3 linked regions of the Oryzias latipes genome follow. The main gene of each other region encodes a partner of the protein of the gene in region 3 in a complex. Links are inferred from orthologs where the notes say so. Each region holds a gene or a part of one and is shown on either strand. Other genes may lie near its edges.

The links.
Region 1: exosc7 (region 3) and exosc2 share a complex: the UniProt entries of both Homo sapiens proteins name them as parts of the RNA exosome core complex. The link is inferred for Oryzias latipes from reciprocal best matches to the Homo sapiens genes EXOSC7 and EXOSC2.
Region 2: exosc7 (region 3) and exosc6 share a complex: the UniProt entries of both Homo sapiens proteins name them as parts of the RNA exosome core complex. The link is inferred for Oryzias latipes from reciprocal best matches to the Homo sapiens genes EXOSC7 and EXOSC6.

Annotation. Positions count from the first base shown.
Region 1 is NC_019870.2:12,827,845-12,830,060, forward strand, and holds the end of exosc2 (exosome complex component RRP4), read right to left. Parts: intron 1,494-2,216; coding exon 1,365-1,493; intron 986-1,364; coding exon 905-985; 3' UTR 661-904; downstream 1-660. UniProt on the Homo sapiens protein: Non-catalytic component of the RNA exosome complex which has 3'->5' exoribonuclease activity and participates in a multitude of cellular RNA processing and degradation events.
Region 2 is NC_019864.2:25,018,277-25,021,269, forward strand, and holds exosc6 (exosome complex component MTR3), read right to left. Parts: upstream 2,218-2,993; 5' UTR 1,839-2,217; coding exon 1,561-1,838; intron 1,357-1,560; coding exon 816-1,356; 3' UTR 622-815; downstream 1-621. UniProt on the Homo sapiens protein: Non-catalytic component of the RNA exosome complex which has 3'->5' exoribonuclease activity and participates in a multitude of cellular RNA processing and degradation events.
Region 3 is NC_019869.2:5,728,369-5,732,133, forward strand, and holds the start of exosc7 (exosome complex component RRP42), read right to left. Parts: upstream 2,320-3,765; 5' UTR 2,238-2,319; coding exon 2,181-2,237; intron 2,088-2,180; coding exon 1,986-2,087; intron 1,914-1,985; coding exon 1,819-1,913; intron 1,138-1,818; coding exon 972-1,137; intron 1-971. UniProt on the Homo sapiens protein: Non-catalytic component of the RNA exosome complex which has 3'->5' exoribonuclease activity and participates in a multitude of cellular RNA processing and degradation events.

The sequences.
Region 1 (2,216 bases), on a different chromosome or scaffold from region 3:
TCCCAGCAGGGATAAATCGAATTCTTTTTTTAGCTTTCTTCATTTAAAAGAATACAAGGTTGGTTAGAAAAAACATTCAGGAATAACAAAGGTGATTGCACACTTTTATATAAATAAAGTCACTTTTTATTAACCTGTCTTAGAGTAGAACATTTTTTTTAGTTATCAAACAACTATGAGAAAAAAAATTAAATCCTGCATATAAAACTAACAATTAATGAATTTTCAAAAATTAGTACATAAAAAGGGAAATGTAGGCCATGTTCCAACTAATAAATATTTTATGTAGCAAATTGAATTTCATTTTTTTATTGTTTAAAATAAAAAACATTTCTTGAGAGCTAATGATTCAGACTGTTATGAAAAAAAAGTATTTAAGTTAGTAGAAGCATGAAGCACCAAAATGCTGCTAAACATTTAACAATATTTAATTTAACATTTAATGAAGAGTGAAATAATCAGATTTATTTTAAGATCTAACATTAACCCTGAAGACCCATTTTCCTTCAAACGAAAATTATTTTGAATATACAAAAATCCAAGTGGACCAAAGAACACACTTTTGATGATTTTGTTACAATTATGTCCACCATGGGTTCTTATAGGTTAATTGATTCAATGTACTCATTGTTTTTTATCAATACAGACCACGATGAGAACTATACAGAAATGACTGAAATTTTATTTTATACAAAACCATCACAATGTAATGTCACACCGAGCATTTACAAATGTGGACAACATTTTAATTTTCATTCAGGTTATATGCATTATTAATGTTTGATATCAAATAAAGAATGTGATCTCTGAGCACCTCACTTTGATTCATAGAAGACAACTAAACTTAATTTTTGGATAAGTGGATGGTGGCCCCGTTGTTGGATGTGGTTTTAGCATTAGCCTTTTATCCTTCCTGTTCCAGCAGCTTCTGTTGGGTCAACATGACAATCTCTTCCATCACCTCGGGTTTTAAGATGTCCTTGACCTACAGGCAGGGAAAAGGGAAATCTTTAAAACAGGTTGTTATCGTTTTGTAAAAGTCCAGAAACATTTATAGTTACATGCATTTCACCAAAATACACGAATTGCTCATAAATTTACCATTTCTCAGAATAAATTAAAAACATATATTTATATCTGATTTGTTTATTTCAATAAATAATGTCTGTTCCATTCTGCAAATACAAATAAATGTGAAGGTTCCTAGTTCCAGGCCGATTTATTATGTCACCACCAGATGGCGCAATTTATTGCAAAAACAAAAAGTATAATCACTGCAAGGTTTTTATTTCATCGTATCAGAAAAAAGGACACGGTTTATGAAATATTATGGGTATTTTTTTTTTTAACTTTTGGTTTCCTACCGAATGCTGCAGGGAAGATTCATAGCAATAGAGAACACTGGTGTCGTACAAAAGGACTTTGTGTGCAGCCAAGGCCAGTAAGCAGTTCCTCAGCCGTGAAATCACCTCTCGATCTGACAGGCTAACAGGCTGCAAAGAAAAAGACCACAAATTGATTTTTTTTTTAAGTTTAGTTTAGGGAAATCTACCAGAAGCAGGAGAATAACATATCATTTTCAAAATGACTATCATTCAAAGACGATCTTAGTTTTGAGTTGATTTACATCAGCAAAGAACTGTGATTGAGGTAGAGTGAATATCAGTTAAAGCTTAAAGATTCACAACATTAGCTATATTACATTTTTTTTAAAAGCCTCAGCAACAATGAACAGAAAGGCGCAAACGATTGGTTAGAGCAGCCTCAGTCTTGGCAAGGGCTCTGAGAAAAACACAGGAGGCAGAGCTAGAGATTGCAGAGATGAAGATGCCGAGGCTTTCTTTTGGAGTTATGAGGATGGATAGGATTAGGAAGGAAAAAAAAATCAGGGGAACAGCTTGTATTCGATGTTTTGGAGATAAATGCAGAGAAGTAGATTGAGATGGTTTGGACACACTAAGAAGAGGGACAATGATGATGTTGGTAAAAAGATTCTGAGATTGGAGCTACCAGGAAAGAGACCTAGAGGAAGTCCAAAGAGGAGGTTTATGGATGTAATAAAGGAGGACATGAGGGTGATTGGTGTGAGGGGAGATGGGGTTAGATGGGGTGGATGATTCAATGGTGCAAAGAAAAAGATACATTCAATAAGGATTCTTCAGATGACACAGCAAAAGCCAGAGAATGGGAATCAAAGCTAAGCCTCAATCAGTTAA
Region 2 (2,993 bases), on a different chromosome or scaffold from region 3:
CTTAGAAAATAAAGTATTCACTGTTGTTCTGGGAGATCTGTGACATTTATTTGAAGCAAGAATGTATAAAAAAATGTATTTTTTTACGGTGTATTTATTAGGAAAGACTAGAAGGAAGAAAACTATTTAGTAAAACAGGAAAAAATGGAATAAATATTACAAACTAGCGATGGGCAAATGATACTGAGGTAGTGGAGCTTGTGTCACTTTTCCTGAATTGGAGCAATTCAAAGCGTAGTATCAGATCCTGAATGAAAACACGGGTGACACATTACCATATAATATCCAAGCTGAGTTTCACTTTGGAGAACAAATAGGAGTTTGGTACTTTTTCTTTAAAGAAAATGTGCAAACAAATGCAATCTGACCTTCTGTATTATACATTTCTGTGATAAAATGCTAACCAAAATACAAAAAGACTAGGATTTTTTATTTTTTATTCTGTATTTTTATTTTTAAAATAACAAAACAGACATTTGCATTAAAACATTTTCTTTTTTTAAACCAGTCATTCTCAGTTTTTCATAATTTGTTTTCTTTTTTCTCCCCTATAGCATAAAGAGCAGGAAAAACTTTGTTTACCTTATTTAGATTTTTGGGGCATGGGGGGAAAAAAAAAAATCAACAAACTGACTCAAAGTTTTGTCCTGCAGGCAGACGGTGGAGAAATGAATAAATAGGATCAATCTGTTTCTTAGATCAGGGGGACGCTGGCGGATCCTTTCACCTCAGATCAAGAAACAAGGTGAAAAACTGTTTTGAATTTTAAAGTTCTTGTTGAAGACTCAGACAAAAAATAGTGTTGACTTTGCCTCTCAGCTTTCGGGTGGTGGGGGTTGCGCTCTGCGCACAGCCTTAACCAAAGCCTGCTGGATTACTGGGTACAGTTTGTAACATCCCTCAATGCAGGTCCGAATCCCTGCCGTCAGAGTCTCTTCAGCCATTTCTCCATCCGACTGCAGGCCGGAAACCTGGTTCAGGCTGGGGAGAAACGCCACGGTGAGCCCTCCTTGGTGTTCGCTGCTGCTCCAGTTGCTCTCTTCTGAGTAAGTGGGGTCGACCACGTAGGAGGAGCCATCCTGTCGGATGGAGCAGCCCAGCACCAGGTCGTACATTTCAATCCCCGCGTCAGCCAGTGCCAGGGAGGCGCACGTGATGGCGTGGGCCTGAACCGAACCGCTGTTCTCCAGGACCATGACGTTGACCTCAATCTGGGAGCGGGGGTATTTGTGAAGGCACAAGGCCGGCTGCAGACTCTCCTGCAGCATCAGGGAGAAGTTCTTGTCCTGGCTCCCCTGGATCCAGGAGCCCCTCTCCGGACAGGAAAACGGGGCGAAGCGCATGTCTGTGGTCAGTCTGGTTAAGCAGATGTGTTGATTTATCAACTTTTGACTTTAAATGTATTGTTTAAAAAATTAAACTGATTTTCTATTTTACTAATTCTAGCAGAATCCAATTACAGCCTTATCACATAGTTATTTTTTACTTTGTTATATCATTGAATGCAAACATATTTCTATTAGTCTTCCATTATAAAACTGGATGAAGACCACTACATACCGTCCACATTTCATGTCAGTCTCATCTTTCCGCTCCGTCTCTCTCGGGCCGTAAACGCTGCACAGCAGCTTGGTGTCTCCAGCTTCTATGTACGCGGAACCTTTAGCTTGACTCACCAGGCCGCAGCGCACAAACACCGGCCGGACGTCCACCTGGTCCCGCTGGCGGCCGTCCGCTCGGGCCCCATGCGACGGGGGAACCACAGAGGGTCTGCAGTCAAACAAAGACGGGCTTTGAGACACCTCGGGCCCGCGTACACGTTTGGTGTCCGTCGGCATGGCGATCTCTTCTCACGTGAACCGAATGAAGCGGGTGTTCAGGGATCGGTCCGTCAATAAATCTGTCCCCACAGCAACACGGTTCCGCTTGTTCCGATAGTGTTGTCATGTTTCATCATCTTTATTAATTTGAATTTATTCATAAAAAATAAATTAATTCTGATGGTATTATTTAATTTTCAACATATTTTATTTGTAACAGTAAATAAAATACACGCAATAGCTAAATCTTAGCAATTTAGTCAAAGCAAAATTCCGTTACGCCTTTTCTTTTAGCTAGAAATGCTTCGAATGTGTATAACTTTTGTTAGAAATTAATTATTCGTTGCACAACTAAAATAAATTGTACGTGCTAGTTGGCATCTGCGTCTTTTTCATTGCATCAACCACAGCAGAGGAGTTTGCACCACTAATGTGGCGGGCTCGGCTAAAACTGACAGCTTGGCTCGACCAATGGGATTGAGCGTTCGCCGGCTTCCTGCACATCTGAACCAATAGGTGGCGTCCGTGGGCGTGTCCATCGCCTCTGCACTTCCCTTCTGAGCGAGCAGCGTGGACTGAAGCGGTGTTTTGGGGAGCTGTGACCGGTTCGTTTTGTGATAACAGCATCTTATGTGAGTCAAACTACTTGCTTGGGTAAATGACACTCACTGTGTTGATTCGCCGGTTAGTTTTCCCCTCATAGTTGACTTCCAAATTCACTAGCAGGGACGGAAATTTCAGCGGTTGCTTTTGACTGGCTAGCATAGCAGTTTGCTAGCGTCAGGTCAGTTAGTGCATTTTGATTTGTCAGATTTAGAATGAAAGGTTTTCCAAATAGTTTTACTTACCTTTGCTTCGAAATATAGTATAGTTTTAGGGCCAGTTTGAAAGAAATGATGACTGTCAGTATAATGGCGGTTTACGACGCTGAAGTTGGCTTCCGATTCACAGCTTCCGATTCGCGAAGGCACAAAAGAAACATTCCGCTGCATTTTTCGCATTAAGATCACCCAAAACCGGGTCCTGTTCAAAAACCGCTGGACCTGGACTGCTCAAACCTGGATTAAATTATACATTAGATACTAAAGAACACATTAAATATAGTTTCTGATTTGTGAAACCTTCCTTTGATTTGTGAAAATCTGAAATAGATTGATGTTTATCGCATTTTAC
Region 3 (3,765 bases):
TTCTAACTGGCTGACTGACTAAGTAGACCTCACTTCCTCATTACACATCAGCTGCCTTTCAACTCATTTAGTGTTTCTTGAGTCCGACAAACCTCCTCCATGAAAAACAAACTGCATCCACTGCAGGCCGGTATGACTATTTGGGGTTTAAGGAACAAAAAATAAAATAAAATACATATTTCTTGATACTTTCACAAGTTGAAGTGCTACTATGGAGTTACATCAGTGTCTCTTAATTATTTTACCCAACTATGAAGAAATGACGCTTAAAATTAGAAAGAAAAAAAAACAACAGCATATAATTATGAAACTAGAATAAAAAAACTATAAACCTACAGTGAAAATGAAATAAAATTAATGTTTATTAGAAACTGGTATGTTTTTGTTAGTTAAACAAACGAAAAAACCAAAACTTCACTATATAAAACGGCAGCTGCTACAAATGAAGATCATTTTTTATTTGGTAACATTTGTAAGTTTATAGTTTTTTTAGTTTAAGTTTTAAATCTACAATCTTTGTATCCAATTTTCTGTATTTCTTCAAGTTTAGAATGTATAATTTCAAGTTTAACACCATTTCAAAACATTCTTCTTTTTCTTTTTTCAAGTTTACAACCTTATTTTTTCTTAATTTTAACCTGATTTGACCCCATCTGCTACCCCTCAGCAGCACAGCAGACATACTTCAGCATTTCATTTTTAATGCATACAAGGTAAACAAAACACTTGCTTAACTTTATTTAAAAAAAAAATCTAAATGCAGCAACAAGTTTTTCCTAAACAAACAAAAAACATGTAAATGTCTACTTCAACCTGTTTTTTTAACCCAATTTTTTACCCAAAATTCTAAAAAACTTAAAAATCATAAGATTTAGCATTATTACTGAATTTACGTCTATTGTTGTTGTGTTTATTGTTTTATTTTTAACATTTTTATGTTGTGTTTATATTTTTATGTTAAAGAGACTCACCAGGACATCTACATAGAGAACCCAGCAGTGCTCCCCAGCACTGATGCAGAGGCCCTTCAGGTCTATGCTGTTCTTGTTGTTGAAGACTCTGTAGAGAGTGTTGCTCAGCTCGATCCCTAGCTCCTCACCTCCTCTGCCTTCAAACTCGGGGGTGGCGTTGGCAGAGCTGGGGGTGTTGGGGAAAAAAATGTCAGGGAATCAAAAAAAAACATCAAACATTGACAATAACTCAGTTTGGTTCCGATTCTTAAACCAGAACAGCCCGGCATGGTCCTCATGAACACCCTCTACGTCTTAAAGCTGAATACCTGGATCAGGTGAGTTCAGCCAATCGGAATGAGGAGTTACAGAATCAGAAGAAAGCGGAGAGAAGTGGGGAAAACTGAGTCAATGGTGCAACAGTTAATCCCAGCAGTTATTAGTTTAGGAGTTTATTATCCTGCAAGATGATTTAAACAAAAACAGATATCCAAAATAAACTTTATTTTTAAAACATCCTCATTACTTTAAAATGCTTCGCAGGACAAAGACATCCTTCAAACTTCAAAAACAAACACAAAAAATATTTAAACATGCATTATAAGCTTTAGAACATGTAATGATCTCAACAAAAACATCAAGAGAGACTTCCCAACTTAGCCAAAAAGAAATCAAATATGTAACGGTTTAGGGTTCAGGTATTTCTAATATTTATATCAAGCCAAAAATGCAAACATTATTCATTTTAATAAACTATAGAGGCTATTCAATGTTTTTCTTTACTGTTTTGATGCAATACAATTCTGTCAAATGTCAAATTGTGCACATTTTGATGTCCAAACCTGCTTTAAATGCACACTAAACCTACCAATCAACAAAGAACTCCAGGTATCCTTCATCTGGAACCAGTGGTCTTGGTTTTCCTATTTCTGCTTTAATCCCAACCAGGACGGCGGTGTGTCCCTGAGAAGCACGATGGAAGGAAAATAAAGACACTGTTTCTGCGGATCTTTCACACGTAAATGTTGATTTTACCAGGGAGACTCTGGCAGATCCATCAGTGTTTGAGACCACATCCGTCTCCACTTCCATGTGTCGGTAGTCCTCACAGCTTCTTCCATCCACACGTAAATCATCCTGAGGAGAATACAAACATCCACATCTTTAGGTTGGTGTGACAACTTCACAGACATTTAGCTTAATAGAGCACACATTTCTAGAACAACTCACTCTTATTCCGTGTAGAATGTACACCTTTTCAGCCTCGCTAACTTTAACTGTTGCCATGTTAACTCAACAAACAGAAGAAGAAGAAACGGTGCCGGGAGGCTCTTCTTCTACAGTTTTCTCGATGAAGGAACTATGTCGCCACCACCTGGAAGAAGTGGGAGCTGCTGTTCAACATCACAAAATTTAATAATAATAATAATAATAATAATAATAATAATAATAATAATAATAATAATAATAATAATAATAATAATACAAAAACAATAATAATAATAAAATAATGACAATAATAATACATTTTTGAGAGTAATCTTTTTTTTCTTCTGTGTAGGAATGTAGATGCTTGTGCTATGTTTGTCCATATCATAAAGAGTATATAGACAGTTTTAAAATATATTTCTATTTAATTATATTCAGATTTTTTTATATTTATAAATGCACATATACAAAACAAGTTAGGGTGAACAATCGTTATAAATGCGCATATTGAAAAAACAAAACAAAATTTAAAAAATATGATAAAGGCAAGGCAAAAAACAATTCAAAATAACAGTACGTTTGATATATTTTGATAAATTACTGTAGTTTTCTTGTTTTTGTTTGGAATGCATTTAAGACACTTATAATAATCAGAAAAGTAATTCAAAAAATACCAAACAAAGGGCATGTAGTTTTCCATTTACATAAATGAATGAAATTTTTGCATTAAATAATAACAACATTAATGACATCAGAAATTCCTGGGTCCATATTTTCCATATAGAAAATAACAACAGATAAGGAAAAAAGGGAATATTTAAAACTTTGAGTGACAACCAATTGTGAATATCAGTCCAAAATATTTTTATCTGTAACTGTAACAGAGATGTTCTAACGTTTCAGTTTCAGATTAACAGAATAGGCATGGCTCCGATTGAAATTTGAATCTTTTATGTAAAAAAATCTCCAACAGGGTAAATTTGAGATATTATTTTAAAATGCGTTTCTTTCATTTTAGGTGGAAGTGGGTACTTTGTGTATAAAGAAAAAAATGTGTTCATTAGGGTGGTTTCTAAGTCCCGTCTATTGTTTATACTAAAGTTGCAGAAAGTTATTTGTTTAAAGGTTAGAGTTACTAATTTATTGGTGCATTTTTTTTTCATCTTTTAGGGGAATATCATTAATTTTCAGATCTGTAAATTGTGGTTTGATTGCATTGTATTGTAGTATGTATTGTCAGAAATATGATTATTTGGGTGTTTTTTGGAAGTACTTGTAAAAAAAATAAAATGATTTTAAATGGAAGAAAAATTGCCCTGCGTTTTGGCCAAAGGGGTGGATTTAATTTTAGACCATAATCTGATTGGTCAGTTTACAGGAAGTCCTTCCCGGGTTCTCTCCTGACAGACCATACCCAGGGCGAATCTACTAGGGGTAATCAAACTTCCTGGTTGGGTATGGGTGCGTTTTTATTCCTCCCGCAGAGATTTCTGGATGAGACCCTTCAAGAAAACATAAAATACAGTGACTTATTAAAGTTTAAGTCGAAGAACTAGCTAGCAAATTACCTTGTTAATTAAACGGAGACCAGAAACCAGGAAGAAGC